4 linked regions of the Saccharomyces cerevisiae S288C genome follow. Changing the gene in region 2 together with the main gene of any one other region gives a genetic interaction. Each region holds a gene or a part of one and is shown on either strand. Other genes may lie near its edges.

The links.
Region 1: mutations in WHI2 (region 2) and AIM4 together harm fitness more than expected from each alone (negative genetic interaction), as found in Saccharomyces cerevisiae (2 studies listed by BioGRID).
Region 3: mutations in WHI2 (region 2) and RTS3 together harm fitness more than expected from each alone (negative genetic interaction), as found in Saccharomyces cerevisiae (2 studies listed by BioGRID).
Region 4: mutations in WHI2 (region 2) and CPR8 together harm fitness more than expected from each alone (negative genetic interaction), as found in Saccharomyces cerevisiae (2 studies listed by BioGRID).

What each region holds. Positions count from the first base shown.
Region 1 is NC_001134.8:605,760-613,897, forward strand, and holds AIM4 (Aim4p), read left to right. Parts: upstream 1-4,278; coding exon 4,279-4,650; downstream 4,651-8,138. Other genes in the region: 60S ribosomal protein eL21 RPL21A, read left to right, coding at 511-521, 910-1,381; RIM2 (Rim2p), read left to right, coding at 1,893-3,026; RNA polymerase II mediator complex subunit MED8, read right to left, coding at 3,323-3,994; MSI1 (Msi1p), read right to left, coding at 4,855-6,123; PGI1 (glucose-6-phosphate isomerase), read right to left, coding at 6,477-8,138.
Region 2 is NC_001147.6:409,105-413,606, forward strand, and holds WHI2 (Whi2p), read left to right. Parts: upstream 1-1,765; coding exon 1,766-3,226; downstream 3,227-4,502. Other genes in the region: ubiquitin-binding protein CUE5, read left to right, coding at 1-556; IRC23 (Irc23p), read left to right, coding at 3,903-4,376. UniProt on the Saccharomyces cerevisiae protein: Plays a role in the coordination of growth and proliferation. Required for entry into G0 phase under conditions of carbon limitation.
Region 3 is NC_001139.9:805,931-814,432, reverse strand, and holds RTS3 (Rts3p), read left to right. Parts: upstream 1-5,012; coding exon 5,013-5,804; downstream 5,805-8,502. Other genes in the region: YGR161W-A (gag protein), read right to left, coding at 1,379-2,695; YGR161W-C (uncharacterized protein), read right to left, coding at 3,928-4,206; NSR1 (Nsr1p), read left to right, coding at 6,777-8,021; exosome non-catalytic core subunit MTR3, read left to right, coding at 8,412-8,502. UniProt on the Saccharomyces cerevisiae protein: May be a component of a protein phosphatase type 2A (PP2A) complex. Negatively regulates SIT4 phosphatase, a modulators of caffeine sensitivity.
Region 4 is NC_001146.8:670,761-679,122, reverse strand, and holds CPR8 (peptidylprolyl isomerase family protein CPR8), read right to left. Parts: upstream 2,947-8,362; coding exon 2,020-2,946; downstream 1-2,019. Other genes in the region: ALG12 (dolichyl-P-Man:Man(7)GlcNAc(2)-PP-dolichol alpha-1,6-mannosyltransferase), read right to left, coding at 1-324; ZNG1 (GTP-dependent zinc transferase), read left to right, coding at 635-1,924; putative pyridoxal kinase BUD17, read right to left, coding at 3,247-4,200; Sar family guanine nucleotide exchange factor SEC12, read left to right, coding at 4,434-5,849; MPP6 (Mpp6p), read right to left, coding at 6,154-6,714; SNF12 (Snf12p), read right to left, coding at 7,005-8,362. UniProt on the Saccharomyces cerevisiae protein: PPIases accelerate the folding of proteins. It catalyzes the cis-trans isomerization of proline imidic peptide bonds in oligopeptides.

The sequences.
Region 1 (8,138 bases), on a different chromosome or scaffold from region 2:
GGCTTGGAGAAATCCTTATTGTCAGAAATTGAAGCCGTTAATATTTAAAGGCTAATTCTCCATGCCATCTTGCATTCACTTTGGTATATATCTCTTGACCTCAATATATCTCGATAATATAAATCGCAATATTATACTTGTTAGTCTGACAGTTTTACACCTGTACATCTTCACCATCACCACACCCTTTTTTACTGGAGGCAAGGATGAGTTTGAATATCGCCTTTTTCCCAGCCGCTAGAACATGCTCAGAACCGAGGAAAAGCACCGCTGCCAAACCTCCTTTGATGTGTTGGCCCACCGCTACTAGTGGCCGTGCTGGAAGCCCAGGCAGCGGTGGGGGCCACAATACGAGAGCTGGAAAGGTAAACGGTCTCTGCGCCTCTGTGAAATTTTATCACCAATGGAGTGTCATGTCTGGTAAAGATAATATAGAAAGTAGTGTGCAATTTCAGGCATTACCGATTGAACTTTGGAATAAGAGAACCAAGACAAAAATAACTAGCAACAATGGGTAAATCGTATGTCATTTAATCCTATGAATCTACAGCACGAACGAATCATGGTATCTCAAACCGAACATATCGTCACAGAAATAAAAAGATTTAAAGACGTGTCTAGTGTGAATAAAGCAAACATATCATTAGAGCAAAATATTGGGCAGATAAGATGATGCTACACTGATTCTGAGAAAATTACGTGACATGATAGGCTTTTAACGGGCTGTAAGTCATTAGTTTACAGTCGTTGCTTTGAAAATTAGTTCAACATTAGAAGTGTAGTAATTACAAGCCCTTTTTCCAAACATTCGGTTATGTGCTGGGACGCATCTCAGAAACTCGCAAAACAATAGAATACTAACATGATTTCTTATAAATCTTAATTTTGATTTATTTCCTTATAATACAGACACGGTTACAGATCTCGTACTCGTTACATGTTCCAACGTGACTTCAGAAAGCATGGTGCCGTCCATCTTTCTACTTACTTGAAGGTCTACAAGGTTGGTGACATTGTCGACATCAAAGCCAATGGTTCTATCCAAAAGGGTATGCCACACAAGTTTTACCAAGGTAAGACCGGTGTTGTCTACAACGTTACTAAGTCTTCTGTTGGTGTTATCATCAACAAGATGGTCGGTAACAGATATCTAGAAAAAAGATTAAACTTAAGAGTTGAACACATCAAGCACTCCAAGTGTAGACAAGAATTTTTGGAAAGAGTTAAGGCCAATGCTGCTAAGCGTGCTGAAGCTAAGGCTCAAGGTGTTGCTGTTCAATTGAAGAGACAACCAGCTCAACCAAGAGAATCCCGTATCGTTTCTACTGAAGGTAACGTTCCTCAAACTTTGGCCCCAGTTCCATACGAAACTTTCATCTAATTTACCCGATGCTGGTTTTGTATCGAAAAAGATTTTCAGGTTTTAGGTTTTATTTTTTGTCTATTTTTAAATATATAATATAATAAAAAATAAATTGTGTCTAATATCCATAATTTGTACATTTAGATTATTTCTTTTGGTTCTTTATTCTGACCTATATAGACTACTCAACACAGTCACTTCATGTCATCCAGATATTACTTGCGTTGAGCATCTCTTTTGAATCCTCGCTTCGGGCTCTCTCTTAGTGAAAAATTAACCTTACGCCAAAATCCAAGAAGTAAAATTAAAAAGAATAATGGTAAAAGTCTAACTTCACATAGAGAATTCAACTTTGTATAAAGGGGTAGCCTTGTTCTCTATAGAAACTGTTCTTTGAAGTACTGCTAACTGAGGTAAAAAAATCGGACGATTTTGTCTTTACGTGGTCCTATATTTATTGTGTCAAAGTCACCTACTTACTTACATAGTTGACCATTCTCATATCCCATAATTTTTCAAGGAGATAAAGATGCCTAAAAAATCCATTGAAGAATGGGAAGAGGATGCCATTGAATCAGTTCCATATTTAGCAAGTGATGAAAAGGGCTCTAATTATAAGGAAGCTACACAAATTCCACTAAATTTGAAGCAATCTGAAATTGAAAATCATCCAACAGTAAAACCATGGGTTCATTTTGTTGCTGGGGGTATTGGAGGAATGGCGGGTGCAGTTGTTACGTGTCCCTTTGATTTGGTGAAGACCCGATTACAAAGTGATATATTTTTGAAAGCATACAAATCACAAGCTGTTAATATCAGTAAAGGATCTACTCGTCCAAAGAGTATTAATTATGTCATTCAAGCAGGAACCCATTTCAAGGAAACACTGGGAATCATAGGCAATGTGTACAAACAAGAGGGTTTTAGAAGCTTGTTTAAGGGTTTGGGCCCCAATTTAGTCGGGGTTATTCCAGCAAGAAGTATTAATTTTTTTACCTATGGAACTACTAAAGATATGTATGCTAAAGCGTTCAATAATGGCCAAGAAACACCTATGATTCATCTGATGGCTGCTGCAACCGCAGGTTGGGCAACGGCGACGGCAACCAATCCTATTTGGTTGATTAAAACAAGAGTACAGCTTGATAAAGCTGGGAAAACATCGGTCCGACAGTACAAGAACTCTTGGGATTGCTTAAAAAGTGTTATAAGAAATGAGGGTTTCACTGGCTTGTACAAAGGGTTGAGTGCCTCTTATTTGGGTTCTGTTGAAGGTATACTTCAATGGCTATTATATGAACAAATGAAGAGGTTAATAAAGGAAAGGTCTATTGAGAAATTTGGATATCAAGCCGAAGGTACAAAAAGCACATCAGAGAAAGTCAAGGAGTGGTGTCAAAGATCAGGAAGCGCTGGTCTTGCAAAATTTGTGGCTAGTATAGCAACATATCCGCACGAAGTTGTCAGGACGAGATTGAGACAAACGCCCAAGGAAAATGGTAAACGAAAGTATACAGGTTTAGTACAAAGTTTCAAAGTTATAATTAAAGAAGAGGGACTCTTTTCAATGTATAGTGGGTTGACCCCGCATTTGATGAGAACAGTTCCGAACAGTATAATTATGTTTGGTACATGGGAAATTGTTATAAGGCTACTATCGTAGCCTTGAAATCTAAAAAACTCTAAATTCACTTTAGGGCCAAGACATACTCTAACAAAAAAGTATGAAAAAAGTGCATTTTGTAAGGATATAAAGCCTGTCAAAGTTTATAGAAAGCTAACCTACTAAGGTTTGGACCCCTTCGTTTCTTCTCCTTTACTTTGCATTATTTATCGTAACATATCAATGATCCTTATTTACTTCATTCAGTAAATTGGTCCTTTTATACTTGTAAATATTTTTACCAGGTCACTAGTAACAATAAAATGTTTTAAAATATCAGTAGCGTGAAGTAAAATTCAATTACTAGATGATGTTGAAGTAGATCCCGTAATAATGGGCTTTTCCCCTGTGAAGGTGAACTTTAGAACATCATCCACATTGAAAGGTTTCGAAGGTTTGCTATCTCGTACTAGAAGTGAAGCGTGTTCTTCGCTTAGGGATTCTTCATTTTTGAAATCGTGCTTTCCATATTCGTTTCTAAACGTAGTGCGCGCCCAATTCGTTATTTCTCTGTCCTGTTGCAGCAGCTTTTCTATTTCTTCATCCTTTAGCAAGGCTGTAGTTACTCCAGATGTTTCCCTAACATATTTCATCCATTCGTCCACTTCAGGAATATTCTTCTTCCTCAAAAGGGTAGTGACCAAACTTTCATGAGAGGTGGTTGGGAATTTAGGCAAAGGGTAAACCACTGTAGAGTCTAAAGTTTCTTGGAAATGTTGTAGAGTGGAGGTTACAGAAACGAGCTGGGATAATGTGACATTCAGTTGTGATTGGAGTGTATACCATTGTGGCAGTTCGGCTTTGGACATTTCGTCTCTGATTCTCCTCAATGAATGAGTTAATTGAGCCAAACGCATGCGCACGGCATCTAAAGCCTGGCCAGGTACACCATTGAAATCAAAACTAACATCTTCTTGGAGGGAGCCTTGATTGCCCTCTGGTACCAGTGATGCAGTAGATTGTGACATATTCCACGTTGCTTTATGTTTTTCTTTTGTTCTTCTTGCTCGGGGTTCTCTTATATCGATGAAATATTTCAATATTAAAATCCTTAACTTTGACGAAAAGGCAATTTTTGTATATTGAGTTTCCTTACTTTTTTGAACAGAACGTACTTTTAGACACTTTGCAAAGGCCTTCAGCAAATTTTTTTGATTATTTTCAAATATCAAGGAAATATATTACCTTCAAAGTCATCCAATCCTTTTAGTTCTCGCATTCCATCATTTTATACTATATACGTTTGAGCTTAATGGATCAAAAGAAGGACCCAAGTAATAACTTAACAGAAAGAAGGGTTTCCAAGGTCCAACGCCCAAATAAGAAAAAGGTACGAAATCAAGTTGAATCACTTTCTAGAAACCTAGAGAGAAATAAAGAGGGACAGCTTCTGCAGACTGTATCAAAAGGTCATTTAGAAGCTGATTCTGGACACTCACTGGGTCGTGAAAAAGAGAACGGTGAACTCGGTATAAGAAGTATATTTTACGATAAAGACTGGAATCCAAGAGGCACTGCACCATCACATTACAGAAATATACCTTATAATCCTGCCACTTTCAAAAGGCGAACTGAAGTTCAAGCCAGACTGGGAAACCTCGAGAATATCAAAATACCAAAGTGAAAGTTCAAAGGTAATAAATGAGCAACCACTTTCTTCGAAATACAATATTGAAATCAGCATGAAGTCTGAGCGTAGTGTTTATTGTAGCAAGTCTTGAGCATATTTTATAAACTCTATTTATGTTTGTATATTCGTCTATCAAATGGTTGAATATGTAATAGGGACAGGAGCCATTAGCATGCCTGGCTTCAAGGAACGTTTAGGTCACGAATGTCCAACAAGGTTTCCTGCAGGTTTCCATATGTGAACTGAATTATCATTTGCCACACTGCACATTAACCAAGGGTCATGAGCGTCCCACGAAATGTCGTTCACACCGAGCATATGACCACCATGGGTAAATATAGTTTCTTCGCAGGAGGTATCCCATAGCTTGACTAACCCATCTTCTTGGCCAGCCGTTGCCAATACAGTATCGAAATTTGGACTCCATTCTAAAGTTGAAACGGAAGTACCGTGCTCCATGGTAGCGATTGGGCTTTTGTTCATGTTTCTAATATCCCATAAATTTAGCCTCCCATTTGAATCTGCAGATGCTAGAATTAAAGAGTTCTTATAGTTAAATCTACAGGAGTTTACTCCACCATCGTGTTTTTCACGGTTACTCTGGAGCTTCTCTTTCTTAGTCCTCAGATCTAATAGGGAGACCGCATTTCCTTCAGTACAAGCAGCAAAGAGGGAATCGTGTGTTGGCATCCAAGTTACATCATTCACCGCTGTTCCGTCGCTGTTTATTGACACTAAGGGTAAATCTATTATAGGGTTCTCATGCGAATATTGTTTAATGTCCCAAACTTGAACTTGGCCGTTGGAGTGAGAAGAAAGTAAAAGGGCCTCCTGCTGCAAGTTCCAGGCTAAAGAAGTCGCCTCATTTATATCTGCCGAAGAAGTATCCATTGCCTCCACGTCTTGAATAACACCATGTGAACCAAACAGCTTTGTCTCAAAGGGATGTGAAATTTTGGACTGTCTTATTCTAGTAGAGCCGTGTTTTGTTCTATCGAATATGTAGATTGCACCATCTGAAGAGGCGCCGGCTATAATATCTGGATTTTGAGGCAAATATCTTGCCCTATTGCATTCCCCGTTTGGGAAGAAAATACTGATGTCATTTACTAAGTGTTTGGAGGGAAACCTTGTCGAGTTCTCCGGTTTGAATTCCATTTCGTCCATGTCGAAATTATTTAAAGATGACCATTTTATATGACCCAACGTGGATATTTTGCTAATATATATGGTCTCATCTTCAGGTTTTTGGGAAGATGTAAATGAGGATAACAAGATGCGATGCTCATCCGAAGTGGTATCTAAATCAGGAAAGAACTGGCACGTTAAGGACGGCCACTTTGTTGAATTCGTGTTTAGGTAATCATAAAGTAGTTTAGTGTTTTTCTTCCAGTGCGAGTATCTTTCTTGCAAATCGATGGGTATACTGGAGGCTTCATGAGTTATGTCCTTCGCGCACTGATTCATCTTTGAAACTAAATTTGTATATTGTTTGTCAGAAATAGGACCTGATATCCTCCTTTTAAACAGTTGATGAGAACCTTTTTCGCAAGTTCAAGGTGCTCTAATTTTTAAAATTTTTACTTTTCGCGACACAATAAAGTCTTCACGACGCTAAACTATTAGTGCACATAATGTAGTTACTTGGACGCTGTTCAATAATGTATAAAATTTATTTCCTTTGCATTACGTACATTATATAACCAAATCTTAAAAATATAGAAATATGATATGTGTATAATAATATAAGCAAAATTTACGTATCTTTGCTTATAATATAGCTTTAATGTTCTTTAGGTATATATTTAAGAGCGATTTGTTCACATCCATTCCTTGAATTGATTGATTAAACCGTTGGTAGAAGCATCGTGGGTAGAAATGGTGGAGGAGTTGTCCAATTCCTTGCCGATGACTTTAGCCAAGACTTTACCCAATTCAACACCCCATTGGTCGAAAGAGTTGATATTCCAAATGGCACCTTCAGTGAAAGTAACATGTTCGTAGTAGGCAATCAAAGCACCCAAAGTAGCTGGAGTAATCTTTTGAGCCAAGATAGAGGTAGTTGGTCTGTTACCTGAGAAGACCTTGTGTGGGACCAAACCACCAGTGGCACCTTCAGCCTTAACTTGTTCTTCATCCTTACCAACCATTAAAGCTTCAGCTTGAGCAAAGAAGTTTGAAGCCAACATCTTTTGATGTAATTTGTTCTCAATTGGGTTATGAGATTGAGCAGCTAAGATGAAATCAGATGGAATCAACTTGGTACCTTGGTGAACCAATTGGAAGAAAGAGTGTTGAGCGTTGGTAGCTGGTTCACCAAACAAGATAGAACCAGTAGAGTAGTCAGTAAACACGTTACCTCTGGTAACAGACTTACCGTTAGATTCCATTGACAATTGTTGCAAGTAGGCTGGGAATCTGTGCAAGTATTGGTCGAATGGAGCAACCAAATGGGTTTGAGCACCAAAGAAGTTGTTGTACCAGACAGACAACAAACCACCCAACAATGGAATGTTGTCTTCCAATGGGGTTTGGGTGAAGTGGTTGTCGACGGCTTCAGCACCCTTCAAGAAAGCCTCAAAGTTGTCATAGCCAATGTACAAGGCAACAGACAAACCAATAGCCGACCAGACAGAGTAACGACCACCGACCCAACTTTCGAAACCAAACATGTTTTTGGTGTCAATACCGAACTTGGCAACTTCGGTTTCGTTAGTGGACAAAGCAGCGAAATGCTTAGCAATGTGAGATGGATCATTACCTGTCTTCGACAAGAACCAGTTCTTGGCAGTGTTAGCGTTAGTGATAGTTTCAGCGGTAGTGAAAGTCTTGGAAGCAATCAAAAACAAAGTAGTTTCTGGGTCAACAACCTTCAAGGTTTCAGCAATGTGAGTACCGTCAATGTTGGAAACGAAGTGGACATCCAAGACACCAGCGTAGTGCTTCAAAGCCTCAGTGACCATGACTGGACCCAAATCGGAACCACCAATACCGATGTTAACAACATCGGTGATCTTCTTACCGGTATAACCCTTCCATTCACCAGAACGAACTTGTTCAGAGAACTCCTTCATGTGCTTCAAGACAGAGTCGACTTCTGGAGCAACGTTGACACCATCAACGTACATTGGCTTGTTAGCTCTGTTTCTCAATGCGACGTGGTAGACAGCACGATCTTCAGTGGAGTTGATGTGTTCACCTTTGAACATAGCATCTCTCAAACCGGTGACGTTAGCCTCCTTGGCCAGTTCAATCAATGCAGCAATGATTTCATCGTTGACCAAGTTCTTTGAGTAGTCGAACAAGATTTTGGAACCATCATAGTTGGTGAAAGTCTTGTTCAATTTTTCAAAACGCTTGGCATCTTTTTGGAATTCTTGCTTGACAGACAAAGTCTTACCTTGAGATTCATAAATTTTTTGCAACTTAGACCAGGCTGGCAATTCAGTGGCCAGTTTGAAGTTAGTGAATGAGTTATTGGA
Region 2 (4,502 bases):
GCAATTTGTAGAAAAGGACCTGCCAGAGCTTACGGACAGAGCCGGTCGGTCATTACAGGACACAGCAAACAAAGTTAGTAACTGGATAAGTGATGCTTACCGGAGAAACTTTGCGTCAGGTAATGAGCAAAACGACAACCAACATGGTCACCAAGATCAGCAAGAATGGGAGCCAGAGATTGTGGATTTGTCACAAGGCGGGAAAAATTCAAGACCCCAGCAACCTGAGAGAAGAAGATTCAATTCGTTTGGCGTTCAAGTCGGTGATGACTCTTTAGAAAGCCACGGAATCACACTACACAACGAAGATGGATTTGAAGATGATGAAGATGTGCCACCTCAGTTACCAACGAGAACAAAATCTGGTGAGTCGACTGGAAAAGTAGTGGCAGAGACAACCTACATTGATACTCCAGATACAGAAACGAAGAAGAAATGGCAGCCGCTACCACCGGAACCCCTGGATACTACACCAACTAAAGTAAACGCTGTTTCTAGAAATAAGAAAAATCCGGATGAGGATGAATTCTTAATCAATAGTGACGACGAGATGTAAAGCTGATATCTACGTACATGTGTATACGTGCCAATATTTGGACGCATCTTATTTTACGCGCTTGTGAAGAACTCACTACCTTCTTGAAGGAAGTAAGAAAAAATTTTCAGAATTGTTGATAGTCGTATATCTTCCATTATAACTATTGTTAGCTATTAATTCAGATAATGTAGATAAGATTGAAAACATAAATTCATCATAAAAAAGAATAGGTCTTTTACGGCACCCGTTCAGACACTTTGACACTTCAAAGTATATGCATCAGCACACTTCTGACCATTCTACGTATTGTAACAGCAACATGAGTTCTTTAAAACTCCAATTGACATTTTCGTAATGTGTTTTGCATATCATCTAAATTTCAATGACAGATTTAAAAAGTCAAGTAATTAAAAATTTTCATAAGCGTGCTTTTTTATAGTGCGAAGAACGGCAAAGGCAACCTTAAGAAAAAAAAATGATAGGTTACGTGCTATATCCGGAAAATAAAGAAAGATGAGTAAGAGTTAAAGAAAGAATTCAACCAACCTGATGGGTGTATGAAAATCCCGATTTTATATCGACAGCGCTAGCATGCATGAACAGTGTTTTGACGGTCAAGAAAAAACATAACCTCTGCATAATGTACTTACTTATCAAAACGTTGCAAATCTTGTATGTAAGAGGTGTTTGGGTGTTTTTTCCAAACGACCCGAAGGAGGGCAATTCAAAATAAAAAAAGCAAATTTTATCAGGAAGAGAAGATTTTAGTCAGAACGGGCCATGTTCAATGGCCAATTTCTTATGCTCTAGAGTAATAATTACTAAGGAGGAAAGTAAGACAAAAAACGGTCTATCGTTGTTTTAAGTTTACAGCATAGGCATAGTGATAGAGTGTGAGAGAGTCTCTAACTCGGCGTCAGTTTAGAGTCATTTTTTTCTTTTCTCCCCCCAAAGGTCATAAGAAGATAAGGATCCAAATTTAGAAGACAAAAAAAGTTTTGTTAGAACGTTTATCCCATTAAAAATAAGGGAAAAGAGAAACAACGTTATTTAGTGATTTTTTTAATTGAGAAGCATTTTCTCCAGTGATAATTTAATTGTTTTTTTATTCGGAAAAGAACAGAAAGCGCAAGAAGACAACTCCTTCACACTTAGGCTATTAATTTTCCCGCCTCCCCATTAATTGATAAAGATAAAGGTTGTCTGAGCTTACACTTATTATAAACAATGGACGATATAATCACGCAAGTTTCTCCAGATAATGCAGAGTCCGCTCCGATTCTACAAGAACAGCAACAGCAACAGAACTCACAGTACGAAGGTAACGAGGAGGATTATGGTGATTCATTGATTCATTTGAATATTCAAGAAAACCATTATTTCATTACGAGGGACCAGTTGATGTCTCTACCTGAATCCCTATTACTGTGTTTATTTCCCTCAGGTGTTTTTTTGGACCGTTGTGGTCAGGTCATTACTAATTTGACCAGAGACGATGAGGTCTACATTGTTAATTTCCCTCCTGATTGTTTTGAGTACATCATGGAGATATATACAAAAGCGCATGATGATTTGTATAATCATCCTGTGGAGAAATTTTTTGACAGACCATCAAGTAGCTTTGTTTCGAATGCAAAGGGATTTTTTGGACTGAGTAGCAATAATTCAATTTCGAGCAACAATGAGCAGGATATTTTACATCAAAAGCCCGCTATTATTGTTTTGAGAGAAGACTTGGATTATTATTGTGTACCTCAGGAGGAATTTCAGTTTGATTCCACTAATGAAGAAAATAATGAGGATTTATTGCGACATTTTATGGCTCAAGTGAAAATGGCTGCTGGCAGTTATTTAACTTCAAAAACATCGATTTTCCAAGGTTTGTATTCTTCGAATAGACTAAAGCAACAACAGCAACAACAGAAAATTGAAAAGGGGTCCAATTCTTCTTCAAATACTAAATCTACTTCGAAAAAATTGGGACCTGCTGAACAACATTTAATGGATATGTTGTGCTCCTCCGGATTCACCAAGGAAACTTGTTGGGGTAACAGAACTCAAGAAACTGGCAAAACGGTTATAAGTTCACTGTCTCTTTGCCGATTGGCTAACGAGACAACTGAAGGATTTAGGCAAAAATTTAACGAGGCTAAGGCTAAGTGGGAGGCAGAGCACAAACCTTCTCAAGACAACTTCATCACCCCAATGCAATCTAACATATCGATTAACTCTTTATCTGCAAGTAAATCTAACAGTACCATTTCTACAGCAAGGAATTTAACAAGCGGAAGTACAGCACCTGCTACAGCACGTGATAAGAGAAAATCAAGGCTGTCGAAACTAGCAGATAACGTTCGTTCGCACTCTTCCTCGAGACATAGTTCGCAGACCAGAAGTAAACCTCCGGAGTTGCCCAAATTGTATGATCTAGTGCCAAAACCTAATATCAACGCTAAGCTACTATTATTTTGGAGAAAACCTGCTCGTAAATGTTGGTGGGGTGAAGAAGACATAGAGCTAGAAGTGGAAGTCTTCGGCTCTTGGAAAGATGAATCAAAGAAAATCATTGAATTGATCTTGCCAACAAACGTTGATCCTGAAGCAGAACTACATAAAATCATTGTACCCGTCCGATTACATATTCGTAGAGTTTGGACTTTAGAGTTGAGCGTTATTGGGGTGCAGTGAGTGTATATAATATATTAGAGAAAGAAATGGAAAGAGATCGGGCCAAAGACACAATATGTAACAGTATGGTTTCTTGGTATCCCCTCTTTCTATTCCTCCCTTGTTACGAAATGATGTATATTTGTATCTCTATAACAAAATTATATGAACTGTCTCAAAGCACATGAAGAAGGAAAAAAGGTGGCGTCGAAGACTGCTAGATATTTCTCTTCGTATCTTCCCATCCCCTTCTGCAAATAACGGTTTTTCCATTGTCTATTTCAAAGTTACCCGCATAATAAAGTCGTACATTGTTCGAAAAATATCACTCAAAAGCAGCATTGATCCGGTATAAAACAATAGAAATTTTTTTTTTTTTTTATTGTTATAATTATTCTGACTCACGTCTGGATTTCGTTAGTTCGTCATTTTTTCTTAATTTCAGTAAACTGTGATCACGAGTCTGCAACATCATTATACACCGTATATCTGTATTATTAAGAATCAGGGTCTCCTTTTAATTTGCTGTTGAAAAACATCTTAAGGGAGTGTGATTGTCTGTTGATGTATACTAGTCTGGTAAAGCTAAATATTCTTATAAAAAACTTTTGGTAACCCATTATTACAGGAAACAAGATCCATTTATCAGATAAAAATTATAAAACATTAAGGAATCAGGACCTTTTTTTCGACAATCATGATAGAGGCGTTGGAAATAGTTCTATTGCTCGTTATACAATCACTTCAATATATCTGTCGCACATGCATAGCTTTTTTGCTAATACCATTCTTAGGCCTGTATGCATTCGATCTCTTCCTATACGTTTATCGGATGATACTTTATCTGTCACAAATGTTCAATTACAAGAGAAAACTAGGACGTTCTAAAACAAATAATAGGCCGCATAGTCCCAGGCTACATAAGATATACAGTAGTGGGGATTGCATGGATACCTTAATTGGCCAAGTAAGGGATTTGAGAGTATTTTTGTTATCCACGATCCACAGCCACTCTAAAAGATTCTTTTCTACGAGATTTCAGACAAAATCAGGCATTAACTCTGCTATTGACGCGAATGATGTTGAAACAACATCTGACGTATCTAGTTTTACAAATTTACATTTAACAAGGTCATCGGAAGAAGGTTATTATATCGCAGGATCGATATAATAAAAGAAAATATGGAAAACCCTTTCATGGGTGTTTGCACGGAATTAGGATCACATAATGAATACACACAGGAGGAAAACGGCTCGATACATGATTTGGCCATAACGGCAAAAGCGTATACTCACA
Region 3 (8,502 bases), on a different chromosome or scaffold from region 2:
ATCATAATTGAATTGGTCCAATTTGGATTGCTTGTCTTGTAATATAACGTAATTGGTAGTATCTACTGTCTTTTTTAATGATGGAAGATAGATAATATAGCCATAAGAGTTTCGTGACGGATGTAAGGCGTAACCTGGAATGCCACGAGGATGTATTTTCGAGTCGGGATTATGGTTGTTAACTATAACCGGTTGACCGAAAGGTAGTATAGTAGTAATGTCCAGTCCAGCTAAACCTGCATGTTGTCTTGCAGATTTATCGTTTTTTGGTGAGACTAATGAATTTCTGATTATAGTAGAAAATTCGACTGCTGAGAACCATAGATGATTTGGTAGACCACTGCAATGAAGCAGTGTGCGACAATCGTTTAATAAAGTACGATTTAATCGTTCAGCGACACCGTGTGCTCTAGAATCTGCCGTGGTTGTATAGCATGCAGTAATACCTCTGTTCGTAAAGAACTTATGAAGAGTTTTGTTAGTGTACTCGGAGCCACGATCCATCTGGATAACTAGAACGCGAGCATTGAATTGGTTCTTAATAAATGCTAATATCGATGTAAAAACATTGAGGATAGATTCTTCACGACGGTCGTGTAATGGGTACACCCATTGGAATCTGGTTTTCTCATCTGTAAACGATATAAAGTAAGAAGGTGCACTTTTCGGTAAGTGATGTACAGGACCAAATATATCGGTGTGCAAGTACTGAAAAGGCTCATATGATTCTTGGTACTTTAGTCGTGATCCTTTGACATGTCTATGTTTCGTGCTTTTGCCGATTAGACAGTCAGGACATTGATATGTGCTAGCGTTAGACCATTCAATATCCGATTCCTTCAAATATGTAACTGCATTCTTCTTAAGAGACTTCTGAATACTTCGGAAGTTAGCATGTCCAAGCATTCGATGTATTAACGGATATGGATATTTATTTACGCTTTTGCTTTTGTTGACGTTGTTTATTGTTAGCTTTGAAATGTGCGAAGGAATTAGGTATTTTTTAGATAACCAGTAAAAGTCTCCATGTTTGACTATGGGAGCTAGTACTGTACCATCCGATCTTTCTAAAGTGTTTCTGGTAAAGCAGGCAGTAATATTTTGATTAGCCAGCTCACTCAAACTTAATAGATCATAGGCTATGTTTGGTGTGTGTAGTGCTTTTATTGATGTTTTGGTGCCGTTCTGAAAGTTGAAGTGAAGATTACCAATGGCATTTATAGGAATGTCTTGTTTTTGAGCATCGACTATGTTTATTTCAGAATTGGGTGTTGCATGGTGTAAATAATGGGCTGATCTGACAAGCGTTTGCGAAGCTCCTGAATCAATAAGAAGGTGATCAGGTAGTTCGTCATTCGAGTCTATTGTGTGTGTTGGCTTAGATTCTTTCTGTTGCTGGCCTAAGACTAAGTTCGTTGTCATCGCTTAAGTATTGTGATGAAACGGTTGATTCATTAATGTGATCATTGTTCACCCTTGAGAATTTACTAGATGTAGCAATATTGTGAGCTTTTGCTGCTCTTGGTTTTGAACTATTTGTTCTATGATAATTACGAGTTGTAACCTTTGTGTTAGTCGTGTTTGGAGATGTGCGAGAAACATTTTTGTATTCGCTGTGTTGTTTGTATTGGGACGGTTTATTTAGATTCATGATTTTATTTTCGTCATATATTAACTGAATTTCAGCGAATAATTGGGAAAGTTTCATGTTCGTTTTGGTACGATATTGATTACGTAGGTATTTGAAGTCACCGGATAGACCTTTAAGTATTAGTTGACAGGCCAATCTGTCGCTAACATTGATATTGTTTTCTTTTAGCCTCTGAATGATCGTACTGACTGTAATTTCAAATGTATCAGCAGATGTACTTCCGTCGTACTCAAGGTTGGCAAGAGCTATCCAATCCTTTAATTCTTGATTGTTAGTTTGCATTTTGGACACACTTTTACAAAGGACTGTAAGGATGTCAGCATAATTAATTTCTAAAATTTGTTTTACCCATGTTGGCAATAAATGAAATGGGGCAAATGCTTGGAAGGTATTGTATATATACGCATGTTCTTCATAAGTCATTTGACTTTTGATTTCACCCTGGTCATTTGGAATGATGTCACCGAGATTAGAGTTCTTCAAAAATCTGATGTAAAATTTAACCCATGTAGAAAAGTTTTCTTCTGATGTTAAAGTGTGTGGTGGTAAGACGTTATTTCTCACCTTTGTCTCAGCTTGAGGTACTTCAGAGTGTTGATTCTGTGAATCGATTGGATCAGGTGAGGAAGTACTCAGTGGTGGGATATACTGTGGCAACGGATAGTGTGGGTCCGGTTGATAATACGCAGGTGACGTTTGATAATGTGAACACGTCATCATAGACGGTTGTTGGTAATGTGCCCAGTTAGAGGCCATAGCTTTGTTTGGGGTCATCATGCCGTGCTGTTGGTACTGTCCATTCTGTGGAGGTGGTACTGAAGCAGGTTGAGGAGAGACATGATGATGGTTCTCTGGAACAGCTGATGTCCCAGGTGTTGTCTCTTGTTGAGAATTAACCTTAGTGGAATCTCTATCAAATTCCGGTAAATTGGAAGCTGAAACGGCTAACGGATCTTGATTTGATGGGACTTCCTTAGAAGTAACCGAAGCATAGGCGCTACCATGTAGAGAATGTGGATTTTGATGTAATTGTTGGGATTCCATTTTTGATAAGGCAATAATATTAGGTATGTAGATATACTAGAAGTTCTCCTCGAGGATTTAGGAATCCATAAAAGGGAATCTGCAATTCTACACAATTCTATAAATATTATTATCATCATTTTATATGTTAATATTCATTGATCCTATTACATTATCAATCCTTGCGTTTCAGCTTCCACTAATTTAGATGACTATTTCTCATCATTTGCGTCATCTTCTAACACCGTATATGATAATATACTAGTAACGTAAATACTAGTTAGTAGATGATAGTTGATTTTTATTCCAACAATATATATAAATTGCTGTAATCTAGAAAACTACAATGTGAATGCTAGTTACGTGGAAACAGAAGAATTAGTTTGAGTTTATATCTGGATTTCCTTTGATATATGGATAAGTAAGCTCGCTACGTGACATAAATATTTGAATAAGAATCAGAATTAGTGGGGCGATAAAGCAATTTCCGATCACCTCTCATGCGAATATACACTTTGCACACGTACTACCGCAAGCATTGTTATTTTTAAGGCACCTTTGACATGGCCAACGAGCGTTCATCTTTTATACCCCTTTCATAACTATATGAAGGTGTACGATTATTTTGAATGACTACTACAATTTAGCCGCTAATTATCAACATGAATCAAGCGGCTTATAATGCACTAAAATAATGTATCGTTGTACGATAGGTACATTATCGTTTCTACCATTGCAGAAATACGCGGCTCATATTTTACAAATCTTGGATTTTCGTGGTGAGGGGACCTGAGGGTTGTAGAAAATGTGACGTAGCGGAGATTCAAAAGAACGAAAACAAAATAGTAGATACCCCGCTCTGTGAGTTTCTTCAAGGGTTCGACAAATGAATTTAGATACCGTTCAAATTTTTGATTTTCTTGGCGTTCTAAGAATGTCCTATCACAGCCTTGCCACTATCTGACTGACGGAGAAGAACATTGAGATATGATGTTACATTTTTTTATATTCATGAATATTAGTGCGTATTTACAGTGAAAAGCAATCGTCCAGAAATGCATAAACGAAGAATCGATATATAAAACACATTGTATTATAAACTAAGTAACACGTCATCTTCTGCACCTCCCATTGCGACTTCTTTGAGTTCAATCTGTAAGCTAATCGTATGCCGTTTTTCAAACGTGTTTGAGTAGAAAAGTAGCCACCATATGTGCACGGTGAGCACAAAACGTATAGCTCGCATCAGGCGTTCACCAGCCTTGAATTCGGCTCTGTCTCAAGGAAGGATTAGTACTCGGACACGCCGTCGCCGTCTCTTGCAATAAGTCCATGTTCTTGCTCTGGAATAAGGTGAACTCTTTAAGTATTTTCTCTTCTAGGCTCAGTTCTCCGAGTTGTAGGGCAAAATCAACCATGCCACTACTGCCATGATCGCTGCTTGTGCCAGTAGCATCACCTATGAAGCCCTGATCGGCTTGAATATTTGCGAAATGTGCATTCGAAGAAAGATGGTTGAAGTATCCAGACATAATGCTGTATAATGTTGACTATAATCGGTTGTTTTAGCTCTGTGGTATACTACAGATGTGCTAAAATATGCCGAAATCACCACAATATACAATAAATACGATATCATCATGGACGCATGCACGACATATTACAAGGCGGGGGAAAGAAGAAACGGAGCGCCAGAGCCACAACGAGGAAGCGGGTTTGTGGCTCTCACATCACAGCCCGCCCCTACCAAGATCGTAAGCAACGTGTTCAACACGTACCAAAAAACCATAATGGCAAGCCAGCGTTTACCTCACCCGCGGATGACACATCCTGCTCTTACATATGATCGCGGGCTGTCCACAAAAAACAACCTGGAAATACCAAATTTGGCAGCTACCGCGGAGTAGTGGTCATGACGGAGAGAGTTGCCAAAAAGTGACTGACTCGACTCCCCTCACAGCCCGGATCAATTTTTCCATGCGTTTCCACGGAAATCCGAGGTTTGCCGTTAGAGTCCCAAATTGGCGATGGATGATGAGATAATGCGCCCTTATCAATCACGCTAAAAATTGCCCCACGCTGTACTCAACGATCATAGCTGGCTATTGTTATCGTTGGCTTAGATGGTTTCGCCCGTACAAAAATAGACTTGCATATATATAAAGCTTATCTTCGGCCTCAGTCGTCTAAAAAACTATCTTGCCTAACATTATCTTGTCTTCTTTTCGTTCCCTTGAATCATATATAAGAAAAGATAATCAATCATTCGGCTATTTTCTTACAGATACATACATACGTATAATTCATCAATCATAGCATTAATAGAAGATAAAGTATAATGATCGCTACCTCCAGAGCCGTAAACATGAATAAAGAATCAAAACACAAGAAGGCTGTTGCCAAACCATGCAGAGAGAGACAAACTTCAGTTACAAGAGCCATGAGACCAGCTGTAGCACGTGATCCTCGCAGACTTTCGACGTCGTCGTCTCCTTCTTCGTCACCAATGTCAGCACAGAGAAGGCTTTCGAGGGAAGAAATAATAAACGAAATGGAAAAGGAGCAAGACGCTATTGTAGTAAGACTTCTACGGGAAATTGAAACTTTAAAAGAAGAAAACTCTAGGTTAAAAAATCAACTGCACCATCCGGTCCCGGCTAGAAGGTCGTCTCCATTTTTCGAAGGCGAGTCTGCCATCCTAGATGATGATGACTGCAATTATGGTTACACCCTCGACACTCCAAAGCTAAAGCTCACAGATGGTGCATCCAGACACACCGTACTTCCCTTAACACCCAAGGACTCCATGACCCACATTTCCCATTCCGCCAGAAGGTCAAGCCGGAACGCTTCCATATCTAACGGAACAAGCATCTCAGACACGATTTTCCCCATTGAGACTAAAATCCACTCAGCACCAACAACAAACAGAAACCTTCCCTCCGCCGATCTTCCACATCACACTCTTCTTCCACGTTCTCTAAGCGGCATTTCGTCTAGCGATTTAACCGAATCCGGTGCTCTTCTTCATGACAGGAGAAGGCGTTCTTCCAATTACAGTCTCGATGGCTCAAACTCTTTAAAGGCTGATCTCATGGCAAAGAGATTCCAAACTGGTTCATTGAAATAGGCTGTAAGCGAGATACATAAGAAAACAGAGTTTCTCTAAATATATTCTTCCTATTGATCTTTGGCAATCCAACACATATGCAGTTCGTGCACTTGCGTTATAAGCGTGACTTCTCGCTTGGTTTTTTTTTATAATTTTTTTTTAAAACCTCATTCTAAGTACAACTTTGGCGTTTTTCCAAGCTACTACTTATAATTATATGGTTTATTTCATAAATATATATATATATATATATATATATAGAAAATCAATATACATTTAAGCCTTACTGGAGATGACACTATTTTTGTTCACATTTTTTCTTATGCTCTAAATACCTCGGCCTCATACGCAGAGACAGTGTTGATATGTTTTTATACAAAGTAAAGGCAAAGAGAAGGCACAGACAGGATTTCACAGGCAGCTAAGTAATAACGAATATGCTTGCTTCACATATTTTGCCGCCAAATTACACGCTATGGAGCTACGTTCTACTAGTGGTTACTTACCGCTAGCTATTTAAACCCCATCACGTTGATTGTCTATTTCGCTATAGGTTATTTTGCCAAGAAAACTTACTGGGCAATACTTACATCCATTCAGATTTTTGGATAAAGCAATTGAAGAAAGACGACAGCAATTCGACTGGTGGTTGTTAATTACCCTTTGATCCTCTGATTTAAAGACGTAATCCTTCCTGGGGGTAAGTGCCTGATGTATGGGTCCCCATGCCCTTTTTTTTCGTTTCTTTTTTCACTCCATTTCTTTTTTTTTTTTTTTTTTTGGTGAAAAATTTGCAAGGGCAGCTCATCGCAAGAACGAAAATTTTCAATCCAATATTAAAAGTACTTAAGTGTAGCTGTTGCTGTCTGCACTTCCCAATCCATTGGTACCTTAAGTTATTTCCTTTCGTAGTATTTTTCTTACTTTTGCTTCCCAAAGACGAACTGTTAACCAATTTCGGATCACTCAACCCAGGCAGGATAAAATAAGATGGCTAAGACTACTAAAGTAAAAGGTAACAAGAAGGAAGTTAAGGCTTCCAAACAAGCCAAAGAAGAAAAAGCTAAGGCCGTCTCTTCCTCTTCCTCCGAATCTTCATCCTCATCTTCATCTTCATCTGAATCTGAATCTGAGTCTGAGTCTGAATCTGAATCTTCATCTTCATCTTCATCCTCTGATTCTGAATCCTCTTCTTCATCGTCTTCTGACAGCGAAAGTGAAGCTGAAACCAAGAAGGAAGAATCCAAGGATTCCTCTTCCTCTTCCTCTGACTCTTCTTCCGACGAAGAAGAAGAAGAAGAAAAAGAAGAAACCAAGAAGGAAGAATCAAAAGAATCTTCTAGCTCTGATTCATCCTCATCTTCATCTTCTGATAGCGAAAGCGAAAAGGAAGAGTCTAACGATAAGAAACGTAAATCTGAGGACGCCGAAGAAGAAGAAGACGAAGAGTCTTCCAACAAGAAGCAAAAAAATGAAGAAACCGAAGAACCAGCTACTATTTTCGTTGGTAGACTATCGTGGTCTATTGATGACGAATGGTTGAAGAAGGAATTCGAACACATCGGTGGTGTCATTGGTGCCAGAGTTATTTATGAAAGAGGTACCGATAGATCTCGTGGTTATGGTTACGTTGATTTTGAAAACAAATCTTATGCTGAAAAGGCCATTCAAGAAATGCAAGGTAAGGAAATTGATGGTAGACCAATCAACTGTGATATGTCCACAAGCAAGCCAGCTGGTAACAACGATCGTGCCAAGAAATTCGGTGATACCCCATCTGAACCATCTGACACTTTGTTCTTGGGTAACTTATCTTTCAATGCTGACAGAGACGCTATTTTCGAATTATTCGCTAAACACGGTGAAGTTGTTTCCGTCCGTATCCCAACACATCCAGAAACTGAACAACCAAAAGGTTTCGGTTATGTTCAATTCTCCAACATGGAGGACGCCAAGAAGGCTCTAGACGCTTTACAAGGTGAATACATTGACAACAGACCAGTTAGATTAGACTTCTCTTCTCCAAGACCAAACAACGATGGTGGTCGTGGCGGTAGCCGTGGTTTTGGTGGTCGTGGCGGTGGTCGTGGCGGTAACCGTGGATTCGGTGGTCGTGGTGGCGCTCGCGGTGGCCGTGGCGGTTTCAGACCATCTGGTTCTGGTGCTAATACTGCTCCATTGGGCAGATCAAGAAATACCGCTTCTTTCGCTGGTTCAAAGAAAACATTTGATTAATGAGAAAATGAAATGAATTTCAATTTCAATTTTTTCTCTTTTTACGTTAATTACTATATTCCATTTTTGAGGAAAAATTTGGTCTATAATATTTTGTGTACATTAGTAAGTAAATAGGATACATTCTTAAACCTTTCATTCACCATCTCTATTTGCCAACTTTTCTTCGAATGGCTTACTCTTTTTTTTTTCACGATGAGATGAGATCGCTAGATACGGAAGATTACAAGGCCTTGGAAAATACTCAAAAAATTTCAGTAATATGAAATGAATATCTAAATAAAAGCTTGGGCGTTGTGCTTGATTGAGCCACGAAAACTTCCTTTAAGGATTAGCACATACTCCACTTAAAAGTAGGAACATACTCACATTAAGGTGTTATCAGAATAAATGAATGTTCAAGACAGAAGGAGGTTATTAGGCCCTGCTGCTGCCAAGCCAATGGCGTTTAGCAACACTACTACTCATGTGCCAGAAAAGA
Region 4 (8,362 bases), on a different chromosome or scaffold from region 2:
AAAAGAAAGCCCATTGGTGAGGCCAACAATCCCCCTAACGACCAATTGAACATCTATAGACGTAGGCCTGGAAGTTTGGATCAAAGAACTCAAGTAAAGATAAGGTCTCGAAAGCATTGCAATAATCACAGCACCAACGAATGTTCTAGGGACTACTCCAGGAAATTTCAAGTGGTCATATTGGGAGATATCAAATACGCTGTAGGTTAAAATATCATGAATGGCTTGAATATTAAAACTCTCTTCCACCTTGGTGAATGGAGCTTGGATTAGATGAAAGGAAATCACGGTCAATAGCACTGTATCAAGGACAGACCAACGCATTGTCAACTGAATCGTTGTTTAATGGCTTTATTCAACTCTTTTAACAACACTAATCGTTAATGGTTTCACTTGCTATTAGTAAATTCCTTGCGTTATAAACTGTGAAGTGCCACGACATTTAATGCCGGCTGGTAAAAGGTTGTTCATTTTTAAGGGCCGAATTTTTCATTTTCATTTTCATTTTTTTTTTTTTTTCACTATTGGAATAACATGTATATTATAAATATTATATAATATTAAATGTTTAATGCGCTTGTAAAGCCAAGAACACCCTTTTCATTGAGGAATTTTCAACTTTTAAAGCGGAAGAATGTCTGCATTGAGAAACATCAAGTTCAATGAAGAAGAAGATGGTGAACTACCCTGCCTCGTAACAGGTGAAGAAAATAATCTACAAGAAATTTTGGAAAATGTCTCGTATGATGGTGGAAATATTGTTAGCGATGCAAAAGTTGAAAGGGTAAACAAGCAAGTGGAGAACACTTCTGCAGGCGCAACAGATGTGCACGAGAAAAAGCGTATTCCTGTGAGCATTATTACCGGCTATCTAGGATCAGGTAAATCGACGTTGCTGGAAAAAATTGCATTAAAAGGTGCAGATAAAAAAATTGCCGTAATTTTAAATGAATTTGGAGATTCTAGTGAAATCGAAAAGGCTATGACCATTAAAAATGGATCGAACAGCTACCAAGAATGGTTGGATTTGGGTAACGGGTGTCTGTGTTGTTCGTTGAAAAATATAGGTGTTAAAGCCATCGAAGATATGGTGGAGCGTTCACCTGGTAAAATCGATTATATCCTTTTAGAGACCTCCGGTATTGCAGATCCCGCCCCCATTGCGAAAATGTTCTGGCAGGACGAAGGATTGAATAGCAGCGTTTACATTGACGGGATCATCACGGTTTTGGATTGTGAGCATATACTAAAATGCTTAGATGATATTTCCATCGATGCCCATTGGCATGGTGACAAAGTTGGTTTGGAGGGGAATCTGACTATTGCACACTTCCAACTAGCCATGGCTGATCGAATTATAATGAACAAATACGATACTATCGAACATTCACCAGAAATGGTCAAACAATTAAAAGAAAGAGTACGGGAAATAAATTCTATCGCACCGATGTTCTTCACCAAGTATAGTGATACGCCGATTCAAAATTTACTAGATATTCATGCATACGACAGTGTACGGATATCTGACATCTTAGATAGTGGTAGCGGAAACGGTACCATTCATGATGATCGAATGGGCACAATAATGCTTACTTTCAGACCATTAAAAAACGAGGAAGAATATAATAATAAGTTTATTAAGCAATTTTTGCAACCTTTATTGTGGAAGAATTTTGGAGCCATGACAGTGCTGGGAGGGCGTCGCCGAGATGACGGCCGTGATTGGGAAGTACAAAGAACTAAAGGTCTGATACTTATTGAAGGAGAGAACCCCATTGCTCGTGTAATCCAAGGCGTCCGCGACACCTACGATGTCTTTCCAGGCAAATATGACGGATCCAATAAAGAGTGTAAAATTGTGCTGATTGGGAAGTACCTAGAAAAGGAATCCATAGAGGAACTGTTACGTAAAACCCTGGAATGATGGTTGGCATAATAAAGACGAGGTAAGTTATGTATATTTATACGTATGTATGTGATACAAAATGAATGAATATTAAGCGGATGGATCGAAACATTTTAATCCTCTCTAATAGAAACTATTTTAGACGATCTGTTGAATATTCTTTTCCTGTACTTGGCCAAAACGTAGAAAAGTAACAATACCGAAATACCAAGCATAATCTTTGGTAAAGGATGGTGAAGCTGATTATATTTTGCGTCTTCTAACTTTCTTTGACTACCCTGGTATAAATAATTCTTCAATGTAATACCTTTCTCCAAATCGCCGTTTTGGTAATCTTGAAGCCTTTGTAAATACTTTTCGTGAGCTTCCTTTGCATGCTGAATCCTGTGTTCCTGGGATGAAATGTAACCTATTGTTATTGGTTGCTCTGGTTTGCCATTTTCGTCAGTTTTCACATTAGCTAGTTTATCCATCAGATCTTTTAACCCGGCGGTAACTTGGCCAAACACAACACTTTCACCTTCAAGTGGCGTCTCACTGGTCTCAATTATAAACTTAAGACCCTTATCGTCCTTAATCATGGAAACTCTGCCTGGCCTATCATGAATTAAACTATGATTTTCTTCCGGGAGTTTTGGAGCCAACATTTCCGTTTCTTCAATAGAGGAGGAAGAAACGGAGCTACCTTCTATAGCTCCATTCGGTAGAATTTTATCAAAATCGCGTTCTGGCGAGTAACTGTGACGGGAAGCAAGGCGATCTTTTACACTATCAACATACTGGCAAAAAGTCATTACTGTCTTGGGCACCATAGTCCCGTATAAGTCTATTGTTATGAGACGGCCGGCTTCTTCCGAACTTTCAGGATCTGTGAAAACAATTCCGATGTTTACATTATGTGTAATAGGAGGGTCTGGTGCGTATTTTTTCTTTAGGTCTAAGGAGTCTGAAGAAGCCCTTTTGTTATCCACAGGTAATGGCAGAGCCGTTATGCAACTAAACATGAATGCCACATAAAGATAAAGAAAAAAGCTCTTCATTGGGAACCAATGTATACAAATTGTAATAATCTTTCAATTGTGATACTGAATATGAATAGTCTTCTTTATTTATCTACTGCAGTAGTTGATTCTATATATTCTATATATTCTATATTTTTCTTCTATTTTTTTAAATATTTTTTTTCCAATCAAATTGAAAGACCCAAAGAAGGATCGATCTTCTCCAAAGGGACGCGTCGTGTGCCTACAGTTTCCAAATCAGGAATGTATTTTCCTATTTAGGCAGGTTCCTGCAGCAGCCGCACCCCAATGAGGAAGGAGCATACCGTTTCGTAAGAATCATATTTTAATGGTTTTTGGCTTGCCAATGGAGGGTATGAGATCTTGCTTTAGGATGTCTCTACACTGAATCAGCTTTAAATCCTTGATATCTATCGTGGAATCTTGTGGGCCCCGCTCAGCTATGTTTAAATCATACGTTTTTTGTAGGATACTGGTGACGAGCCACAGCACTTGGCCCAAGGATGCGCTTAATGACAGCTGTGTGCAGCGGCGGTCGCCTAGTAACGAGTCAGTGAGCATGGCGCTGATTAAATCACCACTTCCACTAAATTTTGCGTTGATCTTGGGGATTTCATAGAAGAATATCTCTTCACTGGCCGAGCAATCAAACCCTGCTACTACGTAAGTGTCGTTGCTCAGGAATTCAGATAATTCCAGACTAGTGACAACTATTCGGCTTACTCGAGGGTACTTTTTATGAAATAGTTTAAATGCCTGCTTAGCGTCGTCTAAGGTACGAATTGACATCCCCACCAACAGTTCCATTTCAAACTGATTTGGTGTGGCCAAAAAAATTTTGAAGTTTTGTAAAATGTCTTGGTATACCGCAACACATTCTCGATCCACGTACAGCCTTCCATTATCGCCCAGTACAGGATCTAATATCCACTTGACGTTTTCACTCCCCTCACATAATTGACCCACTATTCCTGCTACCTTTTGCAGGGCTTGAACATTGGGTAAATAGCCACTAAGTACGGCATCATACTTGATTCTAAGAGACCCAATCAAGCCCTTCTCTACAATGTCTACCAACTCCTCAGTGCTGCATTTGAAGCCTGTGAAGTGGGCGTACCCCGAGTGGTTAGAAAACTGAACTGTGTTCAATACGTCCACATCCCAACCTCTGTATTGAAGTGGGAACGTAGCGGCCTTGTTTCCCACGTAGCCATGTATGACGTGTGATTGAATGGAGAGCACTTTTTTTGTCGTATGTAATGTACTGGTCATTGGCACCACCCTCACACAGGCATGTATTCAACCTTCCACTGCGTCTGGTCTAATTTCTCAAAGCTAGTTATTATCTTTATCTTGAATGGTGATGACAATAGAGTAAGAATGAGGGAAAAAAGAAAAGTTGAAAAAAAAAAAATCCAAAAAATTCAAAAACGTGTACAGAAACCTAGAAGGATACGTGATAGAAATACAGATATATAACAAGGTTGAGATACAATCGAGCCACTATGAAGTTCGTGACAGCTAGTTATAACGTCGGGTATCCTGCGTACGGTGCAAAATTTTTGAATAACGACACATTACTTGTGGCAGGCGGTGGAGGAGAAGGAAACAATGGCATACCAAACAAGCTGACGGTCTTGCGCGTGGATCCTACCAAAGATACTGAGAAGGAACAGTTTCATATATTGAGCGAGTTTGCATTGGAAGACAACGACGACTCTCCTACTGCAATTGACGCTTCCAAGGGTATCATTTTGGTTGGCTGCAATGAAAATAGCACTAAGATTACCCAAGGTAAAGGTAATAAGCACTTGAGAAAATTTAAATACGATAAAGTGAATGATCAATTGGAGTTCCTCACTAGTGTAGACTTTGACGCATCTACAAATGCGGATGACTACACGAAGCTGGTTTATATTTCACGAGAAGGTACCGTTGCAGCTATCGCATCATCTAAAGTACCTGCTATAATGAGAATCATTGACCCGAGCGACTTGACAGAGAAGTTTGAGATCGAGACTAGGGGTGAAGTAAAGGATTTACACTTTTCCACTGATGGTAAGGTTGTTGCTTATATCACCGGTTCTAGCTTGGAAGTGATTTCAACAGTGACTGGAAGTTGCATTGCTAGGAAAACAGATTTTGATAAGAATTGGAGTTTATCTAAAATAAACTTCATAGCCGATGACACAGTATTGATAGCAGCCTCTTTAAAAAAAGGGAAAGGTATTGTGCTGACCAAAATAAGCATCAAATCAGGAAACACTTCCGTATTAAGATCCAAACAAGTGACAAACAGATTCAAAGGGATTACTTCTATGGATGTCGACATGAAGGGTGAATTGGCGGTACTGGCAAGTAATGACAATTCCATAGCTCTTGTGAAACTAAAAGACCTGTCAATGTCTAAAATATTCAAACAAGCTCATAGTTTTGCCATTACAGAGGTCACTATCTCTCCGGACTCTACATATGTGGCGAGTGTTTCGGCAGCCAACACTATCCACATAATAAAATTACCGCTTAACTACGCCAACTACACCTCAATGAAACAAAAAATCTCTAAATTTTTCACCAACTTCATCCTTATTGTGCTGCTTTCTTACATTTTACAGTTCTCCTATAAGCACAATTTGCATTCCATGCTTTTCAATTACGCGAAGGACAATTTTCTAACGAAAAGAGACACCATCTCTTCGCCCTACGTAGTTGATGAAGACTTACATCAAACAACTTTGTTTGGCAACCACGGTACAAAAACATCTGTACCTAGCGTAGATTCCATAAAAGTGCATGGCGTGCATGAGACGAGTTCTGTGAATGGAACTGAAGTCTTATGTACTGAAAGTAACATTATTAATACTGGAGGGGCAGAGTTTGAGATCACCAACGCAACTTTTCGAGAAATAGATGATGCTTGAGCTTGAGAGAAAGTTATGAGGTAGCAATAATGAAGTAGCGAAAAGGAGAGTGACGACACTCAAGCTATGAAAAAAAACGCAAAGATACAAAAACGATCTCAATGATATTGATGATAGAGATTTATCTGATAAATTAGAAGTGGTGTATTTACATGTTTTTGTATATGTTTTGGAATTGAGCGTAATAGAAAGGACGGCAGTCCTTATGGTTTATGACAAATACGAAAAAAATACTACACAATGCTTTATATTATGTTCTCATTATTATATACGAATACGTACTTCTGCTGGTGCATTGTCTGCGCTACTTTTTTGAATTTCTATTTTTATTTTTACCATTATGGTTGGTCTTTTTCTTTTTGATGCTATCCTTAAATAATTTATCTAGGTCATATTCATCCTCTCCATCGTCTTGGCTCCCTGTAAATTCCTTATCCTTAGCATCCCTTTTCTCGTCTTCATTTTGTTCGCCTTCATCAAACTTTCTCTTCCTGGAACCACTATCATCAGAATTATCGCCAAAGGTTTTTCTCCCACTTATCACACCCTCAGGTTTTCGCAGTTCACTGTAACCAACGTTGGAGATTATGAGATTGGGTCGCTTCTTATATACTACTCTTTTCACCTTTTTCTTCTCCTTACCTGAAATTTTTTTTAAATCATCTTTGTAGCTATTGAGGTCCCACGCTGAGTCATCCAGACCAAAGAGTTTACCTTTCTGCTCTATAGGTTCCACATCTGAGTTGATATTAGACGGCGTATTGGAGTTGGAACTCTCTTCGTCATCCGTCTTACCAAATTTCATAAACTTCATATTCATGACTCTACTAGAGAGTTTGCCAGTGACACCATTGTTAGCACTCATTTGTTGCTTTTCCCTTGGTTCCTTATATGCTTATTGTGTTTAAGTGGCCCTCATCTCTACTACTTTTTCATATTCTGAAATTTCCAGTAGAAAATTTTCAGCGCTTTTCTTAGAAAGAGACAATGGAATCAGACAGCCGCCATTACTTGTAGGCGCTATAAACAAATCAGCATTGTCTGTTCGTCTTTAATTATTATAAATGAATGGTGACCTTTCTTTTCCTATCTAGAGTTTATATACAAAGAAAACTACATAAATCTTCAGTCTATTGTGTATCAATGTAAAGAAGCCTACATTCGTCCATTTGATAATATGACTTCTATATTCTCGCGCAACATAGCTTCATTTTCCTTGTAAAAGTTAGCCCGCCTTACCATATCTTCATTATAGCCCTCATCTCCCGATAAAACTTTCAAAGCATTCGAGGTAGAAGCAATGCATTCATTTAATGCTTTAACTGGGTCCTCACTAATTTTCTTGAAGAAACGGTATCGTTTGTTGCTCTCGTGTAGATTCGAGAGAACGGACGTTATTTCTTTGTCCTGTAAAGCTATCTTGGGTTTGATTTGTTCCAATTCCCTGGCATTTTCATTCAATTCAGCAGCCCCAATTTGACTTTCTCTTTGTGTATTATTGAATTTTAGAGCGTTGACATCAGGTACTTCAATATCAAGAACCAACTCACCATAAGTGGAAGCTTTATCAACGCGTACTGTGTAATCAATTTCAATTGGCTGTAATGGGAGCAGGTGAGTACTATTAATAAGGGACAGTAAATCCGTTAATTTCATTGTATCTGGAGAAGATTCTTTAAGACTGCTGGGTAATAAGGTAATAAGCTGAGTGTCTAATTTTACAATAGAAACTTGACTGGAGGCTGCATCAAGCATCTTACTAGTACTGGTGTTGCTATTGTGATTGTTCCTGTTGCCCATCAAATTTTCGAATGCAGACTCATCATTGGTAAGCAATTCATTTAAATGGATGTATTTATATATGGAAAATATTGCATCATGTGATGTACCGCTCTTCAATCCTATTATTGCGGTTAGTTGTGGAGAGTAGCTCATAAATGGCTCTTCTGGGGATGATTTTCGCAGGATGCTTATAGTGCATTCTACATTTTCAGACCCTACCCTCTTAATATCGAGACCATCGAAGTCTACAGGATTATTCGGGTCATACTGCCATTTCACTGATTCTAGTTTTGGAGTTGTAGAACTCATATCCTTTTTGGCAGTCTCCTCCCCCATCGTGGCATTATTTTGGTCGGTATTAGTCGTAGTAGAGTTGTCACCATTCGGCAGTGAAAATTGTAACGGTAAGTTTAAGTTCAATTTCTTATCACTGGGTCCTTCGGTGGCATTTTCTTCAGGGGCCGCATTAAATTTAGTCGATGGCACATTATCGTTTTCCTTATTTTTGAAGTCTACCACTATCGATTCTATGAATGAGCTAAATTTTTCTCTTGCTGGATCATTAGCTTGCACATTGTCCAATAATCGACCTTCGATTCTCATCGTCCAAGTGGCATTCTCCAGTGCCATAAGGTCAGCCTCATTGTTTGTGTCCATTTGCCAGGGTTGGTTTTCACTAACATTTGAAATGAAGATTCGGAGAAATTTTACATTTGGAAAATTTAAATGAG